Linked DNA regions of Rattus norvegicus. The protein of the gene in region 2 interacts with the protein of the main gene of each other region in a biochemical or structural test. Links are inferred from orthologs where the notes say so. Each region holds a gene or a part of one and is shown on either strand. Other genes may lie near its edges.

The links.
Region 1: the proteins of Dsg1 (region 2) and Pkp1 form a complex in vitro, tested with the Homo sapiens proteins (2 studies listed by BioGRID and IntAct). The link is inferred for Rattus norvegicus from reciprocal best matches to the Homo sapiens genes DSG1 and PKP1.

Annotation. Positions count from the first base shown.
Region 1 is NC_086031.1:49,870,464-49,883,268, forward strand, and holds part of Pkp1 (plakophilin-1), read right to left. Parts: intron 9,264-12,805; coding exon 8,869-9,263; intron 6,132-8,868; coding exon 5,987-6,131; intron 3,891-5,986; coding exon 3,683-3,890; intron 2,866-3,682; coding exon 2,688-2,865; intron 1,344-2,687; coding exon 1,229-1,343; intron 1-1,228. UniProt on the Homo sapiens protein: A component of desmosome cell-cell junctions which are required for positive regulation of cellular adhesion.
Region 2 is NC_086036.1:11,955,994-11,968,798, reverse strand, and holds part of Dsg1 (desmoglein-1), read right to left. Parts: intron 10,287-12,805; coding exon 10,251-10,286; intron 9,824-10,250; coding exon 9,692-9,823; intron 8,621-9,691; coding exon 8,465-8,620; intron 7,177-8,464; coding exon 7,032-7,176; intron 4,807-7,031; coding exon 4,640-4,806; intron 3,179-4,639; coding exon 3,044-3,178; intron 2,749-3,043; coding exon 2,563-2,748; intron 162-2,562; coding exon 1-161. UniProt on the Homo sapiens protein: Component of intercellular desmosome junctions. Involved in the interaction of plaque proteins and intermediate filaments mediating cell-cell adhesion.

The DNA.
Region 1 (12,805 bases), on a different chromosome or scaffold from region 2:
AACAACTATTTATTTGGCCTTTATATTATACTAGGTTTTCTAAGTAACTTACAGATGATTTAAGGTACACAAAGGAGTGTGAACAGGTTATATGTGAATATACCCTCTATACGTTCCTTTTATGGAAAGGCTTGAGACTGTGGATTAGGTGTGCATGGGAATTTGGACCAACGTCTATGGTGACTGAGGGGCAACTGCACACGAAAAGGACCAATCATGGAGCCTTGCACATAGCACACATAGCAAGCAGTAGTGACCACTTACTGCTACCAACCACATGGGGGGCAGAAGACGAAAACGTCTTCTCCAGCCCCAGTTCCTTCTGGCTTTTCAAAGCATCTGGTCACTACAGTCTTTGCTGTCCCCTCTTCCCATGGTCACCCCATAGCCTCCAGCATTAAAGATGCTGCCTGCATACCGACAGTGAGGCCTGGACTCGGAGGACCTCACAGGAGCATTTGGATTCACAGCTGATTTGCTTTCAGTGAGCCTCCAGGGTAGGGCTTGGGAGTTACGCTTAGATCAGCACTTGGTCCCTGTTAGGACCAGGGTGAACCTGACTTCTATTGCTTTGGGGCTATCTGGGTAAAGGAGATGTGCACAGAGCAAGAGGAAGGGAAGCTCTTTGTCCTGCAGTTTAACAACAAGGCTGTTCTTGGAGGACCTGCTATCGCTTCCATAGAAGGAAGCAAGAGACAGAGATCCCCCTTCACTGATGTCCCTGGTATCCTGGGTGTGGGGACGGACTAGACCTCTGTGTCCTGAGCTGTGCTCAGCTGTGCTGGGAGTATCCCAGCCTCTATTTATTTTTTCTTCACAAACTGCTTTTCAATCTGTGCGTGCTGCTGCATCCAGAAGTCTAGAGAAGGCAAGAGGGTGACCTTCCAATGGTGTTTCTGGAGGTGAAACTGGTACAAGTTTCATCTCAGAAAGGAAACGGGGCCCCTAAGAATACTTTTGTGGCCTCAGCACCACAAGAACAATGTGGTCCCCCGAGCCCAAGCACGTTCCAGATGTCTCCTCCACTGTTCCTGCCTCTGCTCGTGTTCTGTCTCTGAGACAGATTTCACAAGCACTCGGAAAGTATAACCTTGACTTACGGGTTCTGGGAGAGAAATATCAGGACTAGGAGAGTCCCCGACTTAAGTGTGTGGCCCTGGGATTTGCAGCTATGGGCACAGACTGCAGGATTGGGGATGGAGGGGTCACCAGGGGCCTGCACCCTCACCTTGTCATCGCAGCGGCTGGCAGCCACACAGTTCTGGACATAGGCCATGAGGGAGTCAATGAGCCCAGAGTAGTTCCGCATAGTCTGGCGGCCAGCATCAGCTGAACTCAGATTCCTGTGAGAGAGAACCGGGAAGGAGGATGTGGATGGGGTGATGAGAGGGCAGGGCAGGGATGAGCAGAGTGCAGTGGGCATGCGCAGTGAAGAGCGGCAGACAGCACAGTGCAGAATATAAAAGTTGTAGCCGGAAGAAGAGGGGAAGAGAGAAAAATAAATGAAGAAAAAGAGAGAAGGAAAAGATTCATTCAGGTCTGCCTGGCCCCGGCTGAAAGGGGTCTCCTTTGAACTCAATTGTTTCTGTCCTGTAGCCCCAGGAACAAGACCCTCAAGAGCTCCACCGCATCTGGCGGCCCAGCTCCTGCCCTCTAGTGGCCATATGAGGGTCAGGCGTTTAGAAGCTGCTGCTTGTATTTTTTTTTTTTTTTTGTGGAAGCAGAGCAGATCTGAGGAGGTGCTAGACCATAAGGGTTAACCTGGGGTCCAGATGTAGTTGTCTTTAATGAAGATGTGTTCGTTCCCAAGCACTGTGGGTCCTCCTGCCTAAGGTGGTGTGTATGGTGCATGCACAGGATGTGTGTACGTGCGTGCGTGTGTGTGTGTGTGTGTGTGTGTGTGTGTGTGTGTGTGTGTATGTGCGCTGTCACATCCAGCAGTCATGTGGCCCCATAAAGTCCTTAGTTACTCTGACTTTTCATCTACCTAGCCTCTTTGTCTCACAGCCTGGAGGCCATGGCTGGAGGCTGGTTGGGAGAAGCACAACGGGAGACACAGAGCGAATACTAACTTCACCCCTACTCTGGAAGTTCTCAGAAGTTCTGGGGGACAAATTCCATTGTGGCAAGTGAGACCCTAAAGGGGACCTTGCTCCATGGTTTCCGTACTCCATGCCGGTAGCCATCCCGGAGCTCTGAGAGCAGGAATATCCAGACCCCACCAGGGCTTTGCCACACCCTGCTCTGGAACTCAAACAACATTGGGCAAAGCAGCACCATCTCCATGCCAGTGAACATGGCAAAGGTTTCTGCTCTCAGGCGGGAGGTGACTCACAAGCAGCCAATCAGTAAACTTTCGAATATGAGAATGTTCTTCAAGATAGCACAAGAAGTACATTTTTCCGTGGGCGGAGGAGGGGTTTTCAGTTGAGCCAGTCTGGCTATTCCAAAGCAGGTCATTTCTACTCTTAGATTCCCAATGCTGTCCTTTATTTAGAACCTCTCGGGACGTTGCAAGGCATAGCCAGACTCACAGACATTGGTAATGCCTGACTCTCTGTCCTGGAGCCAGCCCACAGAAAGCAGGGCCAGGCCAGCAGAGGCTACTCTGGCTGGATGTTGGCTGAAATGGGGGCTGGTTGTGGGAGGGCCTGAGCGGAAAGATCTGACACACCCTTTTCTCTCACCTCAGGCAGCCTGTGGCATTGAAGAAGACCTCGGGGTCCACTACTTCCCGGGACATGTTGCTGTTACCATCACACCAGCCAGAGAAAGGGATGATGACCCGGTCAGTCAGAACAGGCAGGGCATCGGCCACCAGTTCCTCCTTTAGCTCGTCAGTGGAAGACAGGTTCCAGAGCAGCCCTGCACACAGACACAGTCAGCTTAACATGGCGGGCTCTGCAAACCTGAGGTCTAGTGATACTGCCCTGAGTCCTAGCTCTGACAAATGGCCACCTTCCAGGTAGGCTTGGCCCATCAGACCATGGTCTGATTCCTCATGATCCTGTGCTCAGTGCCCATGTCGACTGCAGGTTCTGTGAGGTCTGAGAACATCTCAGAGTTCTCTGCCCAGGTAAGAACCAGGCACAGGGATAGCCCCTGAATTGCAGTCAATTGCTCAGCGGTTTTTAACCATATGTTTTGGGACTCAGAACTGCTCAATGTTCTCTGTTTTCCATTTGAAACCATACATGGAGAATATCAACCGTGACAGCGGGTCTAGGAATTCTTATCAGTTTATTACTCTGAACATTTTTGTCTTCTCTGGTCTAATTCAAGGTCTTCGTGGTGGCTTCTCCACCCTGTACCCCATCTCGAGTGCTTCATGTACTTTGTGAATACAGGGTAAGTGTACTGTAAACAGTCATCCCTTGAGATCCTCTCACCCCGACCCATGGACTTAGCTCCCCTTTTATCACCCGCAAATCCCAGTACCCCCTACCTAAAGCTCCTTCCCTTGCACCCCAGCCTTGAGGATGCCTTCCGAAGGGTGAACGCCGCCCCAGGTGATCATCTGGGTGCCACCATTTCCATTGAAGCCAGCGCCATGGAGCCCCTGAATTGTGGCTCAGTAACACCCACCCGGCTGTGCCTCAGCCTAGCCCAGAAGCATGGGCTAGAGACACAGCCTGCCATCTTGCCCACTCCCCACCCCGGTTTCTCTTCGGTAATACCCTACCAGTCAACTGTTTCTGGATCTCCGTGCTCCCGCTTCTCCTCAGGAGGCTGACAGCCTCACGGATCCCATTCTGCCTCCTGGTCTCCAGCTTGTTAGTGGTGCTCCTGAACACCAGATTGCGCAGAGCCCCGGCAGCAGCCTGCTGGACATTCTGATTGGGGCTGCGGAGGAGGTCCACCAGCTTGCAGATGCCCCCCAGCTGATAGACCTGCCGAGAGAGTTGTTATATATCATCTAAAGGAAGGGAGGGTGGGATATTTTTTCTCTGCTCAAAGTAACTGGTTTTCAGACCAAAACAAAAATCAGTTCAGGAGCGTACAAGTCAGCCACAAACAAATGCAGCAATGAGATTATGGGACTGACACAGACATGAAACCCTGAATTCAGAGCTTAGCTCCATCCTCTCCTACTCAGGGCCCTAAGCAAGTCTCTCCTCTGTCTGGAGCCATCTTTTCCTCCTCCGGAGCATAGTGAAGGCCAGAGGAGAAGATGGATCTCCGTGTACATCAGAATCCCAAGGTGAGGCAAACACATACAAGGTGCCACAGAAACTCTCCCATGGTAGAAATTTTGATGAAAACGGCCTCCATGCTTCTTGGAAGCCACTTGTGGTACACATAGCTGTTTGTGTGTTTATGAAGTGGTCTTGCAAGTGTTTTCCTAGCTGGCCAACTGTGTGCGGGGGCATAAATGAGTCCCGTTTTCACTGAGGGGAGGGGCTGGGAGGGAGGGAGTTGGGGGCTGGGAAATAGTCATATCCTTTAGTGGAATCTGAGGGAGTGGGTGTCTGTGAAATTCATGGCTGTCATTGAGCCCTGGGACTCCTCCGTGGCTGCTGTAGGACACGATCCTCCCACTGGGACCAGGGTTGCTGTTTGTACCAACCCTGCAGCAGCTGCAGCTGCCTGTAAGAGACCCTCAAGATTGGGTTTGCTGAGGTCTGGGGCGATGGGTCAGTGGGTAGGGTAGAAGTGCTTGTCCCAAATCCCGATGATCTGAGTTCAACCTCTAGGATGCACACAGTAGGTAGGAGAACTCACACAGTTGGAGGACTGAATCCTGACAGTTGTTCTCTGACCACTTCATAAACACACTCATGCGCGCGTGTGCGTGCGCACGCACACACACACACACACACAGAGAGACAGAGAGAGACAGAGACAGAGAGACAGAGAGAGACAGACAGACACACACACAGAGCGACAGAGAGACAGAGACAGAGAGAGACACAGAGAGACAGAGATAGAGAGAGACACACAGAGAGAGACAGACAGACAGAGAGAGAGACAGACAGACAGGTAGGCACACACACACACAGAGACACAGAGAGAGACAGAGACAGAGAGAGACAGACAGACACAGAGACAGAGAGACAGAGACAGAGAGAGACAGAGAGACAGAGAGACAGAGAGACAGAGAGAGACACAGACACATACACAGAGAGAGACAGAGAGACAGACAGACAGATAGGCACAGAGAGAGAGAGACACAGAGAGACAGAGAGAGACAGACACACAGAGAGAGAGACACACACACACAGAGAGACAGACAGACAGATAGGCACACACACACATACACACACACACAGAGAAAGAGAGAGAGAGAGAGAGAGAGAGAGAGAGAGAGAGAGAGAGAGAGAATAAATGAGTAAATAAAAATTAAAGATTTAAAGATCGGGCTTGTTACTAGAAGGTGGGGATGGAGAGAATCATTGACTCTTGAGAGTCCAGCCACTCCTTCCCACACCTCCCTCCCAGAGATATTTAATTCTTTCCAAGGTGCACAGATCCTGGAGGTGACAGAGTAAATAGTATGTGAAAGGTTAGATGAAGATTGAGGGGGGTCTCCATCTACACATCTGTGCCAGGACGAGACTTGTTTTGGGGTCACTTGAGCTCTTGTAAGTTACTCACCCACCACGCTCTATAAATAAGCCCAATAAACCCATTGGCATGGCAGCTTGTGTTCTGATGGGATGGGTATTCTGCTCTGTCATTGGGACACTGTCGGGGGGCAGTTGGTCTATCATCGGGACACTGTTAGTGGGAGGGAGTGACAGCTGTTTATTTTATATCACACTAGGGAAAGTTCATATAGCAATGGCCAGTGGGGGAGATACCATCCAAAGTCCACACAGGAGGCCTCCTCTGCAGGTTAAGATGAAACTCTGCTCTTGCAATGGCAGGAGCACTCCCCATCCCAGTGTCTGGGATCCAACTGCTCAAGCGTCCACTCCTCTCCTATGGTGGGGCCCAGGCTGACACACTCAGGACCCACCATCGAGGAAGGGATGCGGCCGGTTACCTGTTGCTTGGCAGATTCATCCTGGAAGCAGGTGTGCTGGATGTAATAGGCTCCGATGGCCTGGTACTTCTCGTCCTGGGAGCACAGGTACTGCACAGCCTTGGGGATGGTCAGCCCGCTACACTCAATGTCCTCACTGCAGATCCTGAAAAAGTAGGGTGCAGGGCATTACAGCGTGAACATGGCGACTCCAGTGAGCACGCTCTCTACATTCCTCCTCATACACTCAAATACCACGGCTTCCATGTGCCCTCTAGGGAAGCTGAAAAGGACAGGCTGTCTTGGAGAAAATCTTGTGAATGGCTCCCTACAAGGAAGGAAAACGGCCGTGTGCTGGGTGTCCCTCTCGTGGTACGAGATTGCTCTCAGGGGCTAAGGCCAATACGTGACAGTTATCTTCATATTGTGCACAAACTTGGCCCTCTTTCCTGAGAGGGAACTCCTCATCTATCCTGTGGTTGTGTTTGTTCCTGGTCCTGGAAGAGTAAGTGAGAGGCCTGTCTACTCTGTCTCTTTTCCTCCCCACATCCAGCTAGATGCTTGGCTGGTTGGCTGGTTTTTCCTTTTTGTCTTTTCGAGACAGTTTCTCTGTGTAACAGAACCCTGGCTGTCCTGGAACTCGATTTGTAAACCAGGCTGGCCTCAAACTCAACAGAGATCCTGTCTCTGCCTCCCAAGTTTGGAGATTAAAGGTGTGTGCCATCACTGCCTGACTTCCCTTCCAGGTTCTCTCTCTCTCTCTCTCTCTCTCTCTCTCTCTCTCTCTTTCAGTCTTTCACGTCCTGACAGTCACTGTATTTGTCTGTGTTAGGATCACTTTCATGGGACTAGTGGCTAGAGAGCCACTCCACCCACCATAGTACAGTCTGTGACTTGGTCCTAAAACCCTGCCCACTGGATTGTTCTACAGCTCAGAAACCATCCACTCCATAGGTCAGGTTCATGCCCACTGCTTAGACTGTCACTCAAGCTCGTGCATTAGGTTGAACCACAGCAAATGTCTATTAGTTCACCGTTTTAACTGAGTGTTTGGCTTCGCTGCAACCTCTGGCACGTTCCCTAGACTCTGGCAAGAGTCTGTTGGTTGTAGCAAGGCAACCTCAGTTCCAGGCATGAAGGCCTAGCCCAGGCCTGCTGAGTCTCCCTTCCAGGAAGCCTTTCTAAGGAAGGGAGTCCTCGGCTGGGAACTCCCTGAGCTGCCACGGTGTGCAGCCACAGGCAGCCTTTGCACCCGAGTGTGTCTTCCTTCCAAGTGGAGAGAAAAGGGCCCAGAGGGCAGAGACAGACCCTCTGTGGTCAGCCCTACCCCACCGATGTCCTCAGCATCTGCAGAGGGAACCCTCTCTTCATTTTTATGAGACTGACGCTTTGGCCTAGCTGGTGCTCAAGGAATAGCCATAGTTTTAGCTAGGGTCATCCAACTTTGTTTCTGAAGGGGATTCTACTCAAGGGGTAGAATTCTCTGGCCCTGGGATAGCTGCACACCTGTTCTCTATCGAGGAGGCACTGCCTTCTCTTCATCAGTCAAGTGTCCCTTCTGCGTGGCTTGTCACTCAATCCTAAACCTCCATTTTGGGGCAGATGGCGCCATGATTAGTCTCCCAAAGAGTTTCACAAATTATTCTAAATACATCTTATGTACTTCAAGGGGTAAGTACGTCAAGATACACTAAGCACATCTTGTGCTTCAAGGGGTCCGCTTTAAACTGGATTATGCTTTCTTTCAGAACAGTGTAGACTGATAGGAAAGAGTACAGGGTAGAGAACCAGATGTGTGGCCTTGGGGCAAGCTTGCTGTCTCTGGCCTTTGCTTACCCCTCACCAGGGTCTGCCTGGAAAGGGGTTGGACTAGGAGGGACACACAGCACCTTGGTCACCAAGAATGTGTTCCAGAGCTGCCCTGGGCTGCCAGCATGGCTGTGCTTCCTATGCTCGACACACAGAGTGTGGAGTAGATGCTCCCTAAATAGCTGCCCAATAAGTGAGTAGCTGTTATTAGGTCATAAGAAACAGTGGAAGGTTCATGCCGCTCTGAGCCTCAAAAGGTAGGTTTAATGTTACTGTGGGCCCAAGGTACCTGTGCCTATGGCTCTCTTCATGGTGTGTGTGTGTGTGTGTGTGTGTGTGTGTGTGTGTGTGTAACAGAGAGAGACAGAGATAGATAGAGACAGAGAGACAGAGAAAGGCAGAGACAAAGACACACACAGAAAGAGAGAGAGAGAGAGAGAGAGAGAGAGAGAGAGAGAGAGAGAGAGAGAGAGAACACATTGCTAGGACCTCCAGATGTCTGTGTTGGGTCCAAGAATGATTATTTAGTTTCAAAAGCTTATTTTAATTATTTTATATGTGTGGGTATTCTGCCTGCATGAGTATCTGCGTACCACTTGCATAACTGGAGGCTGGAAAGGGACATTGGCTCTCCTGAAACTGGAGTCTCATAGATGGTTTCGAGTCACAAACGTGGGTGCTGAGAATCAAACCCGGGTCTTCTGGAAGAGTGGCCAGTGCTGGTAACTGCTGAGTCATTGCTCCAGCCCTGAAAATAAGTATTTCTAACACTTTCCCAGGCACTGCTGTTGCCGATCCGAGAGACACAGTGTGGCAGCAATTAGCCTGCTAATCTCTCTGTTGCCACCCTCTGTTCATAGCTGGTCACCCTTAAGTCCTGTGTCCACAATGTCTAGCTTCTGTGGCCTTTTCGCTTCTAAGGCTCCTCTAGATCCATGGTCCATCAGACCAGAGACTCCTCCAGGCGTCGATAGGAAAGTCAGAACACAGACTGAGCCTCTCCCTTCCTCCTTGGGAGTGAGCGACCCTTGCAGAGTGAGCCAGGCTAGCAGATCACCTCCCACCTGTCCCCTCCACAGCCCTGCAGCACTCACTTGGAACTGGCCCTTGAGTGGCCAAAGGACATGTCCTTGTTGCAGGAGATAGGCGGCATGCACACTGGGTCTTGCTTGGAGGTGCAGGAGGGCGGCCTCACGGGACACTTCTTGACAGCCTTCTGACCGCTGCAAGTGCTGTAAAAGCTGTATCGGTTCTGGGTGGTCTTTTGGCCCTTGCCGCCCAGTGTGCCCTTGCGCAGTGTGCCCCTCGGGTCACAGTAGAGGTCAGGCTCGCTGCGGCTTGCCTTGATTTTCTGCATGAAGCAGATGTCACTGCCAGCGCCTGTGGTGGCACAGCTCCCTCGGGGATAGTGCCGGCTCCAGTTCTCCATCTGGCTATAGGAGCTGAAGCGTCTGTTGTCAGGCTCCCGCTTGAGGGTCCCATTATAGATCTAGACAGGAAAGGGGCGAGAGGATTAGTCTAGCTCTTGACTGGGAGCCTGGATCTAGCTGTCCACAGAGGTAGCCCTCCCTTGCCCCATTACAGTGTTCAGAGGATCTGGAAAAATTTGCAAAGAGAGGAACCTTAGGCATTTTTTCCCCCAAATTCAGGTTGTGGTCTGCTGTGGAATATGAGATCATTTTAGCAGATATGTCCACCTTTATTACAAGTATAGAATAAAGAAAAATACTGGAAAACATACAATACAGAGTGCAGGACAATAGAGATATAACTTGTTTTGTGCTACATTGAATACATTCTGAGTTGCAATGTAAAATGTATTTTACTTTTAAATTCTGAAAAATAACTCATCGTATGTACATGGGTGTTCTGCCTGCATGCATGTCTATACACCACGCATACGTCTAGTGCAGAAGAAGGCACCAGAAGAAGTTGTCAGATTCCCTGAAACTCCAGTTACAGATGGTTATGAGCTACCATGTGGGTGCTGGGGATTGAACCCGGGTCCTCTGGAAGAGCAGTGAGTGAGTGCACTTAGCTGGTGAGCCATCTCTGAGCCCTGCAAATATACTTATTGTGGGAGTATGTGAAAGGAAGCTCTATACCACTGATCTGGCCAATGGGCAAAGTCTAAGATGGGGGCTGCAAGCCAGAGAGGAGGGGTCCTCCAACAGCCACTCAGCATGAGCAGCACCCACGGGCTTTTGTCCCAAGTCCTCGCCTTGTCACTTAGGCCATCCCACAAAGCAGCTGACCGGTCCAGCTGGCGTCAGCTCGTGCACATGTTTGGAAATGTCTATTTTATTTGAGCTACTAGCTAGGGAGCCCCTGTGCACACAGAGGTGGTATAGGGTACAGGGTGGGTGCAGGGAAACCTCTGGGCTGTGTCATCAGGCTGGCTGGGAGAGACGCAGAGCAGAAACTTATCCGAAGGGAAAATGTACCATGAACCGTGAGATATCCCTAAGGGTCTTGTAAGTCCAACAGAGAATTATTTCTTTGGGAGGAGCCTGCAAACCCAGAGGCTTGGTGGGAATCAGCTCTGGTACTGAACTGTCCACAGAAGACTTTCCCAGACCCGTAAGCTGGCGGGTCTGGCCTGCTGGAACTTGTTCTCAGACAACAGGATCAACACTGAGCCTGATAAAACCTCCCCATACAGGTGCCGACTTGGGAGTCACCTTTGCTGGGATGAGCAAGTCCAAGTCCAGCCCAGAGGCTGCCCACCCAACCCTAAGAGAAGAGAGAAAACGGGATCAAACTGTGTGTCTGTCTGCAGGGATGGCTGCTGTGTGACCAGCAATTACCATCTACACTGGATCTCGCCACACAGGACTAAGGAGGGGCTGTTGGTCTGGTTCCCCCAAAGAACGGTGTCAAGCTACTAGTTGGAAAGTGGTGTCCAAAACCAGGAAGCCATATACTGTTAACCTTGGTGAAGGCAGGTACTCTCCCTTCACTCAAACCAAGCGGGCGCAATTTTCTTCCTCAAACTGGGTCAAACCACCCTGCCACACGGTGAGCTGGCCTGTGGGAGTTGGGAGAGACACAAACAATGCTAAGGCAGAAGCTGGAGGAGCCGGTGGTTTTCTTGGCATTTGGACATAAACCGGACTCCTTGATGACTCTTTGCAAAATTTACAGAGGCCTCCCGATCAGGCAGGAAGGCGGCAGATGGTGCTTTTGGTGATGGGGGAAGCAGAACACTCCCCCATGGGCTTCCAAGGGGAAGGCAACAGGAGCTCCCTTGTTCTCAGTAAGTGACACACCTGGACGTCATCTCAGACACCTGACAAGGAGTGCATATGCTCTCCTGGCCCAGACCCAGCAAAGACGCCATCCTGCTGATTAAGCCGAGAGAGGTTCTGGGCTCTGCAACCAGTGCTGGGAAAAGGAGCAGCAGGCGGCCTTGGCAAGTCTCAGCGAGGTGGGCTGCCCCCAGGGAATGGGCGAGGACCCCTCTCAACAGCCACACCCCAGTAGTGTCATCCATTCCTGGGAGCCCCGCCTTAGTTTTTAAAGTCACAGCGCTGGGTTGTATGAATGTGACATCTGGAGATGGCTCTCTCTCATCTCACCTGTGCCTTTTGCTGTCACTTTGGCGAGCAGGAGAAAAACTCAGCTGGACACTGTCCCCTCCTAACTCTACACAAGCCTGGATGCTCTCCAAGGCTCAGATAAATCATACTTACTGCCTCTAGTCCTGCCTGCACAGGTGGCCCATGATGCAGCCTCTAAGGCTGAATTGGCAGCGGTGGCATGGGAATCCAAACTTTCTTCATGCATAAGCGAGTTAGGATGCCTCAGAAGGATATGTGACCGTCAAGAGCACAGACTAGAGTCACACTGCCTTGGTGATGTCAGATGCCTCCTAGAGGGCAACCTTAGGCCAGGGGCTTAAAGCCACTATATCTGAGATTCTCCAGCTGTGTAACCAAGATCCTGAGTGTTGGTGACAGAGAGGGTCATTAGGCATCACGAGACTAATGTTTGTAAGTTAGAACTGGACGTGACACCAGGGCTTGGACCATCTGCATCTCTCTTACTCTCACGATGGCTGCCTTTAGGAGCCAGCCGAGGGGTGCATACATGCTCTTGAACTCCAAGGAGCCTCCAGTCTCTGCCTCCCTAATGCTGGGATGATGCTTGCATGCTGTCATGCCTATCTTTTTACATGGGTACCGGGGATTCAAATGCAGGTCCACATATTGGCATGATGATAAATCTGCTGACTGAGCTATTTCTCCGGTCCCCTCTGCTGCCCCTCCCCATCTTAATTTCTTAAGACAAGTTCTGTCACTAAACATGGATTCATGCCGAGCTAGTCTCGCTGGCTGATCTGTCCCCCTACCCCCTGTTGGCATTACAGATTTGAACCGCTGTGCCTGGTTTTCAAGTGAGTGCTAGGCTCTAACCTCAGGCCCTCAAGCCTGTACAGCAGGCACTTTACCAGTTGAGCCATCTCTTCAGCCCCTTGCTAAGGGGTTTAAATAACCCACACCATTTCTAAAGAAGGTTCTAGATAATCCATAAGGGGGGGGAACAGGCCCAGGAAGAAGATACCCAGTATTCAGAGTCCCATGCTGAATTTGGCAGGCTTTCTGCCAAGATGGAGGAGACTTTCCTTACATGGGTGCTCCTAGCATCTGCGGCAGGACACATCTTCATTGTCTGGATGCCCAAACATCACAGGATGTTTGTGGTGGCCCTGCCCCCAGGCTCCAAATGATAGCAATCCCACCCCCATTTCCAAACACTGTCTCTAAGTCTTAAGCAAACAGCTGCAGCCAGAGGAGAATGAATGGACACCTGTGCCCACAGCAGGTGGGAGAGTTTTGCTGCCAATGCCTCTCCAGCCACACCCCCACACTCAGATAGGGATCGCTGGCAGCCTCCTCCTCTTTGAATACAAAGGGGCATACACACACACACACACACACTCACACTCACACATATACACACACATTCACACATTCACACATACACTCACACACACACATTCACACATACACAGACACACACATACTCATA
Region 2 (12,805 bases):
GAACCTGGTCGGAACACAGAGCCCTCGACGACATTCAATACCTTCACAGTGATCATAGTCACTGTGAGTGTATATTGAGAAAGAATTGACTGGTGGAATTCAGCTACATTTCGAACACCAATACTAAGCTGTAGTTTCTGCATGGCTTCATAATCTAGGGGCTAGAAAACACAGAGAGAATTAGTTATGCTGTAAGAAAACCATTCAGTGGACAGAGAAATCCTTTGAGACAACTCAAAGACATTTGTTATGTTACTATTTGAATTATGTGTTTGAACTCAAATTCACGTGATTACCCAGTCTAGTCTTACTTGCTGGGTATTAAGTTCAAGGTAGACACATGCAAGCATAGGAAGGGGGAAAATCTAGTTGTCCTGGATCTTTTGTTGAAAAGGTTGAAAGCATGGGTCATGAGCTCCAATTGCTCACCAAACCAGTTAATTGCTTAAATTCAAAATATGATTCACTTAATACATTTGCAGTGCAAAGACAATTTGTTAGCTGACATTTCATGCTTCTGACACAGTAACTCTTTTAATAACAAAACATGAATCAAATATATTAGAGACTTAACTAGTTTTATCCCTGAAGAACTATTTAAAATATTCACCTCAGTGTGACATTTTGAATGTCAATGTTATACATAAATGCATACATATATGCTTTTCTTCAATATGTTCTAAAATTATTTCATACTATAAGATAATCAAGTAGTAAGTTTTCTTATACAAGTTGATATCCAAATCCATGCTGCATAGAATTTACTAGATGGCTGATGTATTCCTCATGCACCAAATATATCTTTTCTGAATTTTTATGAATATCTTAAATAAAATATTCATACACTGAGCTCTCCTGATCATCTAAAATTCTGGAATTTAGAATTAGTTTTATTTGCAACTTTAAACACCAATTATAACATATATAAGTGTGTGCGGTTATTACTTTTCCATAATTATAATAAAGTAGTTATCATATTACTTTTCCATAATCATAGTAAAGGATTTGATGTATACTATCATATCAGGGAAAAGCATCCTAGTTTTTAGGTAGAGATATTAAGAGCAGATAAGTTGAGTAATTTTAAGAGTAACATTAAATTGAAAGTGAATAGATTCAGAATTCATTTTCCTAGCATTCAATTTTAGATAGTACCAGAAAAAAATGAATTTAATAGATAAGGAAACCTAGGATTAAATGACGGTGTCATTTACTGGTAGTAAAAGTTAGGACAGGTTGCATGGTTTCTGAGCCTCCATATCTTTGTCACAATATAGATTTAGTATAACCTAATTTTCAAGGGATGCTGGAGGAGCTGATCAGAAGCATCTGGAACCTGTTTCAAGCAAATGGAAGCAACAGTTTCAGTGAATACAAATTTAAGAGACATGGGAGTCATGAGACCACACTTCCCTAAGGGACCGAGTCTATTGGAAATCTGCTTCATAAGGTTACTCTGAAAAGCAGACTCAAGTTGGATTAAAGATAAGTCTGGAGAGACCAGAGTGAAGGAGCTAGGGGAACCCTGGGCCTACACTAAGAGGCAGAATTCTCAGGGAATGGAGCCCACCCCTACACCCCTGTGGAGGTATGAAAGTAAGAGGTAGATGAAGAGGGACTGTGCTGTATCCTGAATGATTCACTGTGAGTGTCACATACAACTGTCAACAATTATTGAAGACTTAAAGAGGTTGAAATCTTCACTCTCAGCTTCTCCTGAGTCAGATTTCACCTTACATTGCACAGGATATCTTACTGAATGTACATGTGGTGAGTGGTTGATACAGAGGAGAACTAAAATAAGCCTGGCCAACAGCCATGGTGAAATGAGAATACGAAGGTTCTATAATTCTATGATTGTTACCGTTTAATCCCATAGAACCACACTAGCAGAATCACAATGATTTAATTTTATCATCCTGGGGGAGGGAATCAACTCTTAATTTTTATGATAAATATTCCTAAAGCATGATATTAGCATCTCAATGTTGGCATGGGCATATTTAAAAATCCGGTTTTAAAAATATTATTTAATTACTGACTTTGAAGCTGGAGAAATGGTTTAGTGGTTTAGAACACATAATGCTCTCGAAGAGGACCAGAGCTCAGATCCCAGGACAGACACTGATCAGCTAAGAACCACACAAAATTTTGGCTTGAGGGGATCTGGTACCTCTGGTTTCCGAGGGCACTACATCCATGTGCACATGCCCTTACACAGATACAGAAACACACACATGCAATTCAGAGTGATGAAGTAAATCTTTAAATAAATGTAAACAAAATTTGAAACCCTCTTATATAGAAATGCTTTTCCCAGACCTGATCTTTGGAAAGAATTGCATGCGTAAAAAGAGTTTCAAATCTTTAATGCTTGTTTTCCTGAGATTGTATAAGCATATACATTCACATTGAAATTACTTGTACTTTGCATAATTTTAAAGCTTGGCGATTTTTGTTATTTCATAGACTCATTTATGAAATGCTAATATCACTTTAACTTGATGTTATGAAATAGAAAAAGACCAGCAAAACAAATGGTTTAGGGTAATCATGCCATACCTTGACAACCTTCAGAGTTCCTACATTTGTTCTTTCATTCATTTCTATTTCAAACCAATTTCCCTCATTTCCAGTGACAAAGAAAATGACTGCCTTCCAGTTGTCCGAGTATTCTTCATCCAAATCAATGACTCTGAACTGCTGTAGATTGGAGTGCAGTGCGTTTTCTTCAATTTTGATGTCATACTGGAACAAGAGGCAAAGTATCAGAACAAAGCACGGGTGAGATCTGTGGACCAAGCTGTCTGCACCAAGCTCACAGTTAACTATTTATAGCTAACGACATCCCTGCGTGTAACTGCATACTTAGTTCAAGTCCACTTGCCCACTGAAGAAACAATTCAAGAGAAAGTGTGTGTCTCCGCTGGTGTTCTAGAGAGCAAATCTAGCAAGTGAACCTGAAAACTGAGTGAGTTCCTTAAGAACTGGGATGTGGAGAATGTAAAGTCGCGGAGTCTGATCCTTAAGAAGGATTGCTTACGGATGACTGATCCAAGTACGGAATGTTGTCATTGACATCCAGGATGCTGATGCTGCACTCGCATTCTGCAGACATGCCGTCTGCCCCACCGTCACGGTCTGAGCCTCTCACCACAAGAGAATACTGGCTGTATTGCTGAAAAAGACACATTACAGGCAATCGTACACTGGACGTAGACACTGGCTCAACATCTGCATAAATCTACCATAGAAGACAAGGTAACAGAAGGTAAAAATCGATAGATCTCATATCACTCAGTATGGAACCTGTGACGTCCATTTCTCATGACGCTTACCCAGCATGCTCTCGAAGACACAACCATGCTGTTCAAGACTTCATTACTTATTCATTGTGTGTGCAGAGAGAGAAGGGTATAGAGGATGAGACAGGCCAAAATATTTAAGGTAAGAAAGATTTAGTTCATTAAAGACGCATGCTATGAGTAATACGCCACTGAGTAGTTAAGACAAGTACAGTGGTATCTAGTGGAAGGGGGAGAATGAGAAATAGAGTCACATGATGCTTCTATTTTAATTCTATTCAGTGGCGACTCCATTTTTAGAAGTTGGTGAATGCTATGAAAGACTTATGCATAAACATATTAATTCCCACTCATGCATATAACTTCAGCACTTCTCCTTATGACTCAGCGGTTGAGAGCACTGACTGTTCTTCCAGAAGTCGTGAGTTCAAATTCCAGCAAATACATGGTGGCTCACAACCATTTGTAATGAGATCTGATACCCTCTTTTGGAGTGTCTGAAGACAGCTATAGGGTACTCATATATAATAAATAAATCTTAAAAAAAAAGAAGTTGGTAAAAGCTATGGGAAGACTTGTGCATAAACATAATTCCCATTTATGGATATAACTTCAGCACTTCTGTTTATGTTCCGCAGAATCATCAATGATTGTGGATGACCTTAACTTCTGACCCCCTTTCTTAGAGAACTCGACTGCTAAAATTATTTTGATGCTAATATCTTTTTGTTGGACTATGTAAAATAATCTGAGAGAAAAGGAAAAGGCTAGGTAGCCATACCTCTTTTTCTAAAGGTGTTTTTCAAACAAGTCAGTAAAGAAATGTAAGTAACCTAAAAACCAGACTCGTGTGTGTGTGTGTGTGTGTGTGTGGTTTGTGTGTGTGTTGTGTGTGTGTGTGTGTGTGTGGTTTGTGTGTGTGTGTGTGTTGTGTGTGTATGTGGTGTGTGTGGGTGGTGTGTGTGTGTGGTGTGTGTGTGTCTGTGTGTGTGTGTGTGGTGTGTGTGTATGTGTGTGTATGTGTTGTGTGTGTGGTGTGTGTGTGGTGTGTGTGTGTGTGTCTCTGAGTGTGTGTGTGTGTGGTGTGTGTGTGTGTTATTTTAATTGTTTATCACTAGTTTTTGTGAGTTTGTTTTGATCTTTTATTTCTTTTGGGAGAGAGGGAGGGAGAGAGAGAGAGAGAGAGAGAGAGAGAGAGAGAGAGAGAGAGAGAGAGAGAGAGAGAGAGAGAATACAACACTTGAACACATTCTTTTAGTTTTTCTTTCTCTTAAGTACCATTGCTTTAGAGTCAGTTCCTTTGAATTAAAATCCATTAAAAGACGAAGGATTACCTCTCTGTCTAGAAAATTATTCATCGTTCTGATTTCTCCAGTTTTTCTGTTGATGATGAACATTGGTGCTTCGGAAGGCTCCTGTCTTACGATCTTGAAGGCTATGAGTGAGTTTAGGTTATTGGGCTCGTCGGCGTCGGTAGCGTTGAGCTTCATTACCAGTGTGTCTAGAAATCAAGGACAGTTGGCCGGATTGGTAATGAACACCATTACAGTCCAATATGCTACCTGTGTCCATACAGCGTGCGTTAACTCTCTCCCCTTTGGACAACACCAACATACCAATGTAATAGCTCCTCCCTTTACTTTTGTCCTAATAAAAAGACCACAGTTAGAGAGGTGCCTAGACATTACAGAAGGGAAGAAGGGAGTCTGTGTCCTGACTCTGTTTATTTATCCAACATAACTTGTTTTAAGCAAGATGCTTATTGTTAAGTAAAATAGCATGAAAACACTATTAATGTGTTTCTCAACAGTGCTATAGGACCTTATTTATAGCCACATGATCTTGTCCTTACTTCCCACAGTTACAAATGAGAATGGTAATAACACCGTATTTATGAAGTTCATGTGAGAATTTAATAGCGAATGAGAATACTGACTGATGTTTACACTGAAAAATGCACTTTAAATAAATATTATTGTTCATCTTGGGCATTTAATAAGTGGCATTGTTATTTAGATTGGAATTGGCTCTTGGGTAGGTGCTGTGTAACTAGGAACTTGTAGGAAATGTTTGACCGCACACACTGCCCTGTCTGTATCTTCTTTCATAATCTAGTATATAGTATTGATGAATGACACTCGTGGGTGTGAAAGCTGTTGACATTCCTTCATCATTTGGAATGCTCTGCTACTCTAAATTGTTTTCAACATACTTTTCTAGTCTTCCAGGACATCCCATCCCTTCTCCTTTTGCTTCTTTCCCCTGGGTCATTTTTTCACCTTCCTCTTTTCTCGCCTCTCCCTCTTAGCCTCACATCTTTTGAACAATCTTCAATGGTGGGCACTGTCCCACTTAGTTACTGAGTATTTGGTAATTACATTTTTAGGTACATGGAACCATAGGGCAGCAACTGTACTCCGAGATTGTCAGAGTCCTTTCAGAGAAATGCTACAGTGGACTAGACTGCTAGTGCCACCAGGTAGCACCATTTGAGAGATATGCTTCCAGTATTTATGGTGAGCCCTATGGAATTACATTTATAACACATTTCCAATGTATAAAACCAGCAACTTGAGCAAAGCGAATCATTGTAATTGGCCTTCTGCAGCTCTGGGGTCCATGTCCACAATTCAGCCCAGAATGAATGGGGAAAAATCCAAAGAACTTACATTACATCTGACAGACTATGTAAAGACTTTTTCATGTCATGAGGACAATAAATATTTATATGTCATATTCATTGTATTAGGCATTATTGCCATATAGAAATAATTAAAAATACGTGAAGGGAAGTATGTGAACCTATGCAAACAAGATATGGTTTATAAAAAGATATGAACTCCATAGATCCCTTTATCTTTAGAGGTCCTAGAACCAAACCAGATAAAGAGGAATGACTACATTTATTATAGCTTGAGTAAAAATGGGAAGCAAAGATTTCTTGACATTCATTTGTTGTTAAGAAAAGCTCTAAGCATCAAAACAGATTACGTGTATTGAATATCTTTGAGTGACTTAAGGTAATCAACTTTGTTCTGTTTCTGGTACTTACTACTCCCCAGTTTTTACTGGGCGCTGTTTACTCCATCCCTCTGCCTTGGAAATGAGTGAGAACATATGATGTCTATTTTTTTGTGTCTGGCTTGATTTGTGTAGTGGTGATCTAAGTTACAATGCATGAGCTCTTTTGAGCTCTTCAGAATAGAGTGTCAATCTGTGTTCTATTTTGAAATGATTACAGAAGGAAGAGTATGGAATTCTTCAGTGCTTACTGGTTAATGACCGGGGAATTCTCTTGATCCTTGTTTGGTTATTATGTATTTTATTGAATAATGTACTCCCATAAGGAGGAACATTTCTTATGTCTGGGTAAAAAATAAATTGAAAGTGAGGATTTTGATCATATGTGAGTGGAATTGCCTTTCAAACACATTTGGGCAGAGAGTAAATTCCCATTTCTCCGAGCCTGTAGGCACTTGCAGATCCTGTCGGGATGTAGTGTAAGAATCTCCAAAGAGCTAGGGCACAAGGCAGACTGTCAGTCCCACTTGTTGCTTTGGAGGTGCTCCTGGGCTGACACCACAACTATGTCTTGAGTCGTTGGTTCCGGATGCTTTCTACACTTTCTCCCAGTTGATGTTTACCTTGCCACAGCTCAGCCCCGTTGCCTAGCAACAGCAATTTAGTCATCAACACATTGTTTCTTTAATAGTGCAGGTGACTCACTTGCGTTAGAGTTTTCCTCGATTTGTCCTAGAAATGTAGTCATTGAAAACACAGGAGGGTTGTCATTTATATCCATCACCCTGACTCTAAGCTCTAGTGGATTCTCCAGGTCTTGACCTTGTGCATTCAGTGCTCGGCAGTAGATCTAGACGGGAAAGGAAAAAGTCAGTGGCAAGGCATGTATTTGTCACTTCTCACAGAATGCAGGCATCCCTGGGTACCACAGGATTAAGGGACACATTATTATTATTATTATTATTATTATTATTATTATTATTATTACTTCCCACTAAAACAGCGACACGAGCAACTTATACAATCAATAAGACAAGGCAAGGAAGAGCATTCAATGCAAGTTTAAAAACATCCTGGTACGTTAGATAAAAGGAATGATGCATAGTCTATGTTTACAATCAAGCCATGCCAGAGGAGGACGTTAGAGAATGTGGTCAGGGATAGTCAGGAGCACTGTAAACAATAAGTGGCATTCTTAAGTGTTGGAATACCGATTTGGACTTGGAAGCCAAGTGATTAAAGTAATTCTAGGGACGCAGATGAGCAGTGTGAATTAAGGCAGCAAAAAGTAAGGAATATCTGAAGGTAGCTTGGAATATGATTTTTTTTCAGGGCTGGGAATCAAAGCCAGGCCTTTTCATGGAGTCAGCAAATGCTTAATCACTGAGTTTCATCCTCCGATCTTTGATGGGATTTTAATAGAAGAGACTGTAAGATCAGTGAAAAGTTTGTTTTCATTTTTATTTTATTTTTTTTTTAATTAAGAAATGTCAGCCATGTGATTGATGGAAATGGAGGCAGTCGATAGATGAGGAGAACAGAAGAGAAAAGGTAAGTCAGAGGTTAAGGCACATTAGAAGAGAGGCTACTGAAGTTGTGTGACAGTGTCTAGGAATAAAAAAGAGAGATAAGGCCAGGTAGGGATGAGTGAGTTTCTGAAGTTAATTTAGAGCTCAGATGAGTTTGATTATAATGAAATTTGTTCACATGAAACAACTGGCCTCCAGGAGCTCAAGGCTCATCCCTTGGCTTAAAAGGAGAAAGGCAGGGGGACATAGGGGACGGGGAGGGAAGGGGAGGGAAAGCTCTGATCTGGATGCAAAGTAAATAAGTTAATTAATGAAAAGAAGGAACTATTGATTTCCACTGATGTTTCTCTTTTAAAGATTGAATAGAAGTTAAAGATTTGTCCTTCCAAACAAATTAATTTGTTACAGAGCTGATGTAAACTAAGATTTTTGTTAACACATAAGGGAAACATTTCTCTATTAATATTTCCTCATCTATTGGGGTAATGAATTAAGAAAGATCTCAGAAGGCCCAATATTGAGACTCTTGAAATCAAATCTGGTATGGTCTAAGATTTTTCCAGGAATAACATCTACTTGAATAAAGATATTGACACAAAGCCCACTTACAATGAAAAAGGGGGTGACTTCACGATCAACAATGGATGTTATATTGATTTCGCCAGTCTTCTGATTAATAATGAAGATTCCATAAGGTGGTTGGTCAATTCCTACTCCGGAGATGCGGTATGTCACTGGTTGGTTTGCAGCACAATCTGAATGAATCTGTATAAAGACACAGTGAAGATGTTACAAGGGCCATGTGAACTTCTACACGCAACAGATGACAACTGTCTTCCTGGAGAACTGTTGAGTATGCGGTCTACAACATCACCTGGGAGTTTTTAGAAACGGGGAAATGATAAATAACAATGTAATAAAACAATTCCATTTCTATGTCTACCAAACAATAAAGAAACAAATGTCACCCTAAGAAGTCTTTATATACATCAGTCATAGAGGTCATAATCATCAAACATTTATAGTTTTATTTTCATATTAGTTTTGGACTCTGTGCTAGCTCTTTGTCTAGAGATAGCCTTCTTAGAGAGTTATCATGTAATGTTGGTATTTAAATTAAATATAACTTTAAAAATACAAAGATTCAGGAAAGTATTTAAATGGACTTTATAGTAGCAGGCTATTTGAAACTTCTAATTTTAAAAGTGGGGAGGAGAAGGAAAGTACCCACTCCAATAAAGGGTGGTAACTTCTAAATAGTTTATGAATATAAGCAAATCTTACAAGGGAGTTGCCTGTGTATCTGTACAAATGGCTGTTTTTACATCTCTGTGTGTGTATCTACATGTCTGTGGGGGTGAATCTGTGTGTATGTAGGGAGTAGGTTCCTGAGTTTGTGCTTTTGTGTATGAAAAAAAGAAGAAGGAGAATGAGAGGAGCTTGAGGTTATGAACGAGACAACCTCTGGATGTTTGTAAATATGGGCAAACAGGAGTTAATTCTGAGGGTTATGCAGCAGAAAGAGCACATGGTCTGACCACGTTGAGTCCTCAATGCATTTGTAAATCATGGTCCTTTTGGAGTTTAGTGTTACGCACGTTCATGGGTGTTACTTTTGCCAATGAGACAAAACGGTGTTTAGCGCTTTATTCAAGCACCCAACGTTCTTGGTTTATCCCTTTAGGAATTTTGGTTTTCATAATTTGAGTGGGGCGGTGCTGTTAGACCGTACCTTTTCAGTAATATGTGTTTACAAAGCACATGAAAACTGGGCTCTTCCAGAAGTGCGCCCTAGCCCTTGTGCGGTCCAGACTCCTGTTCTGGGTTCACACTTACTTTGGCAATTGGGTTTCTTTTTGAGTTGTCTTCTCCTTCCCGACAGGCTGCGGCGAACTTGATCCATTCTCGTTTCTGCCTTCTGATGGAATGCCACTTGATGGTACCATTTTTGGCGTTATGATCTCTTACCTTAAATAGGTAAAACGTTGTGTCTGTTAACTGTTACTTATGGGTATTCCACTGGGGATTTTGGAGGAGGAGCAATTATGTCAGGAAGAGAAGATGGATAGTTTAGTGGCAAACTAAGAACTCTGGTAATTTTAGCAGTTGGAACTGTCCCACTGTAGTGGTTTTGTATTTATAAGAATGAAGGTTTTCTTGAGGACAGCCAAGTCAACTCTCTTTTGGTCTGCTCCCTCTGTCCCTCTGTCCCTTTCCCCATTTTCTCTTTCTAGTTTTTTCTTTTCTTTTGTTTATTACATGATTTGAGACAGGGTTTCTTTCTGTAGCCCAGGGGACCGCTTATCCACAGTTCTCATGCCTCAGCCTCGGGAGTGCTGAGGTCACAAGCCTTCACTACTCTATTAGTCTGGGAAAAAAAGGTTTCAAATCTTACCTGGATTTGAAATTCACTGTTAACTTCAAGCACCACCTGTGAAAAGCAGCCACAACGGTTAACTTTAAACTATTTTAAAGTCTATATTACTCAATAAATAAAAACACACAAAATAAAAATAAGATCAAACAATACAGGTGTGGGGTAAATTAATGGCTCTAACTCTTCCTTATCTCTTTCTCCTGATCAGCAAGCGCTCTCTACATTAACACATGTGCTATGAGCAGTGTTCTGTTCAACTTAAGTTCCAGATCTGAATGTTGCAATAACTTGTGGTGAAGTAGCAGGATATATTAAGTGATTTTTAATCTAAAATTGTGATTATTTTTAAAACACTGATATTCACATGTCAAAGTAATGTGTCTGTATATTTGTTTAAGACATGGTAAAATGTACAACTAAAAACGAAACATTTTTTACATTCCTTACTTTATTTTGCACTGAGGGTTAGTTTATGTGAGTGTGAACCCTTAGGTTTTGCAAATATATTTTCAAATAAGAAGTATTCAGCTTCTAATTGAGTTTTTCATAAGAGCAAAGCCTCAAATCCATGCTTACAATCAGACTTTAGTGACGATACAAAAGCTATAGTGTACCACTAAAATATGAATAATCCCTTTTAAACAGTGATTAGCTTTTTATAGCTGGTTTCAGGTTCATCCTTAATGAAAATACGAACTTACAGTTTCCAAGAAAATGTTTTGGAAAAACTGTCAAAATGGAAAAGTTAACCAACCAACCAATCATATATTTATAGTCTACATGAGTATCGTGAAGAGAAATATTGCCCACAATATTATGTCAGTCATTGTAATTATTATTAACATTAACCGGACGATAATTAAGTAGAAGACAATGTGGCCAGTGAAATCTGCACGTTCATCGTCATCTCAAACACAGGAGGCCATTATTATCTCCTTTATACAGGCAAAGAAACTGAGATGGGGCTACCAGCTTACTGCAAAATGCAATCTTACACCGTTTAGTCTAAACATGTGTTTATTTCATAGTCAAATGTAAGACAGCCTATTTTCTCAAATAAATTATTAACTAAAACATTACCCTGATATTACATCTTTGAGAACTAAATCTCATATTAGTCATGTTTTTTGCGCTCTCTCTCTCTCTCTCTCTCTCTCTCTCTCTCTCTCTCTCTCTCGTGTGTGTGTGTGTGTATGTGTGAGTGTGTGCATGTGTATGTACTTCATGTATGAATACATGTGTGCTCAGGTGAATGCCTATGTACATGTGACCTATACAATGCTGTTGTTTGAGTTGGGCTTGAGTGCAGAACTCCTTTATCCCAGTGAGTTCTTGCTGCCTGTGTTATTTTGGGCGTTCTTTCCTTGCTTGTGCTTCTGGGTGCGATGGCGTTGCAGGGCTGCCTTATCTGTCTGTTTGGAAGTCATTTCTTCATAGCTACAGCCTGTGTACTCATCGGCTATCTGTTATTGCACTTCTTTTCCTGGAGTGAGGTGCCCGTGCCTGCCGCTTTGGGTAACTGGCCAGATGACTAAGAACTCTGCCCAGCTTTGTGAAGCTAGGTCATCCTCTTTCCCATGAGAGGCGACTTCGGCAGAAGACCAAGGTTTCACCACAGTGTCAGACTCACAATTGGATGGGTAATTAAAAAACTGCCTAGTCTGCCTTTTAAAATGTGTGTGAGCTGCTGCTGCTCCTCCTCCCCTCCTCTTTCCTTCTTCATTTTCTCAGAATGCAGAATAAACTCATACACTAAGTATTAGGCTTTTACAGACAAAACAATGACATGGAAAGATCATTATGTAGTCTAAAAGCAACACACACACACACAAACACACACACAGAGACACACACACATACAGAGCCCTATCTATATGTGTGTATATGTATATATATTCTATATAAATTCTATATAAAAATAGCCCAAAAGACACATGCACATTAATTTCTATATCACTTTTATAGCTCTATCTCATTCAAGATGTGGGTAATCAGACCTCACACAGATGCCTTTCTAGTCCTAACATCATTCTTTGTGTGCTACAGGGATGCTGAAGCATTATGGTCATGGGAAAGGCATGCTGAAATTATAGGCTTGAAAGATTACTTGGACAACAGTTGGTAGGAGCAATGGGAAGACTAAGAAATTACAGGCTAAAGGTTGTTGGGTCTTAAACACCAATCAAAGCAGAGGTGAGGAAGAGCTGAGTAGATGCAGAGGTAGTGGGAGCCAAGGGAAAAGAGCAAGGGAGAGATTCTGGACTGACAGGATCCACAAGGTTAGAGAGCAGATGGGATGGGAGATAGAGAGCAGGCAGGATCTCAGGAGCTCGCAGTGCTAAAATGTGGGATAGAACTGGAGGAAGGAGAAGGTTGGAGGTGCTGGAGGGATGCCAGATAAAGGCATGTAGCCACTAAGCAAACACCTAGCTTGGGTTTGTAATGCTGAGCTGTATCCACTCGGGCAGGGTTGTTGAAATCATAGGAGAACTGGATACTTGTAAAGTCGAAGATTCGGCAAAGAAACAGCCTGTGGCCAAGGATGGCACAGGGAACTTTGTTTAACTGGGAGT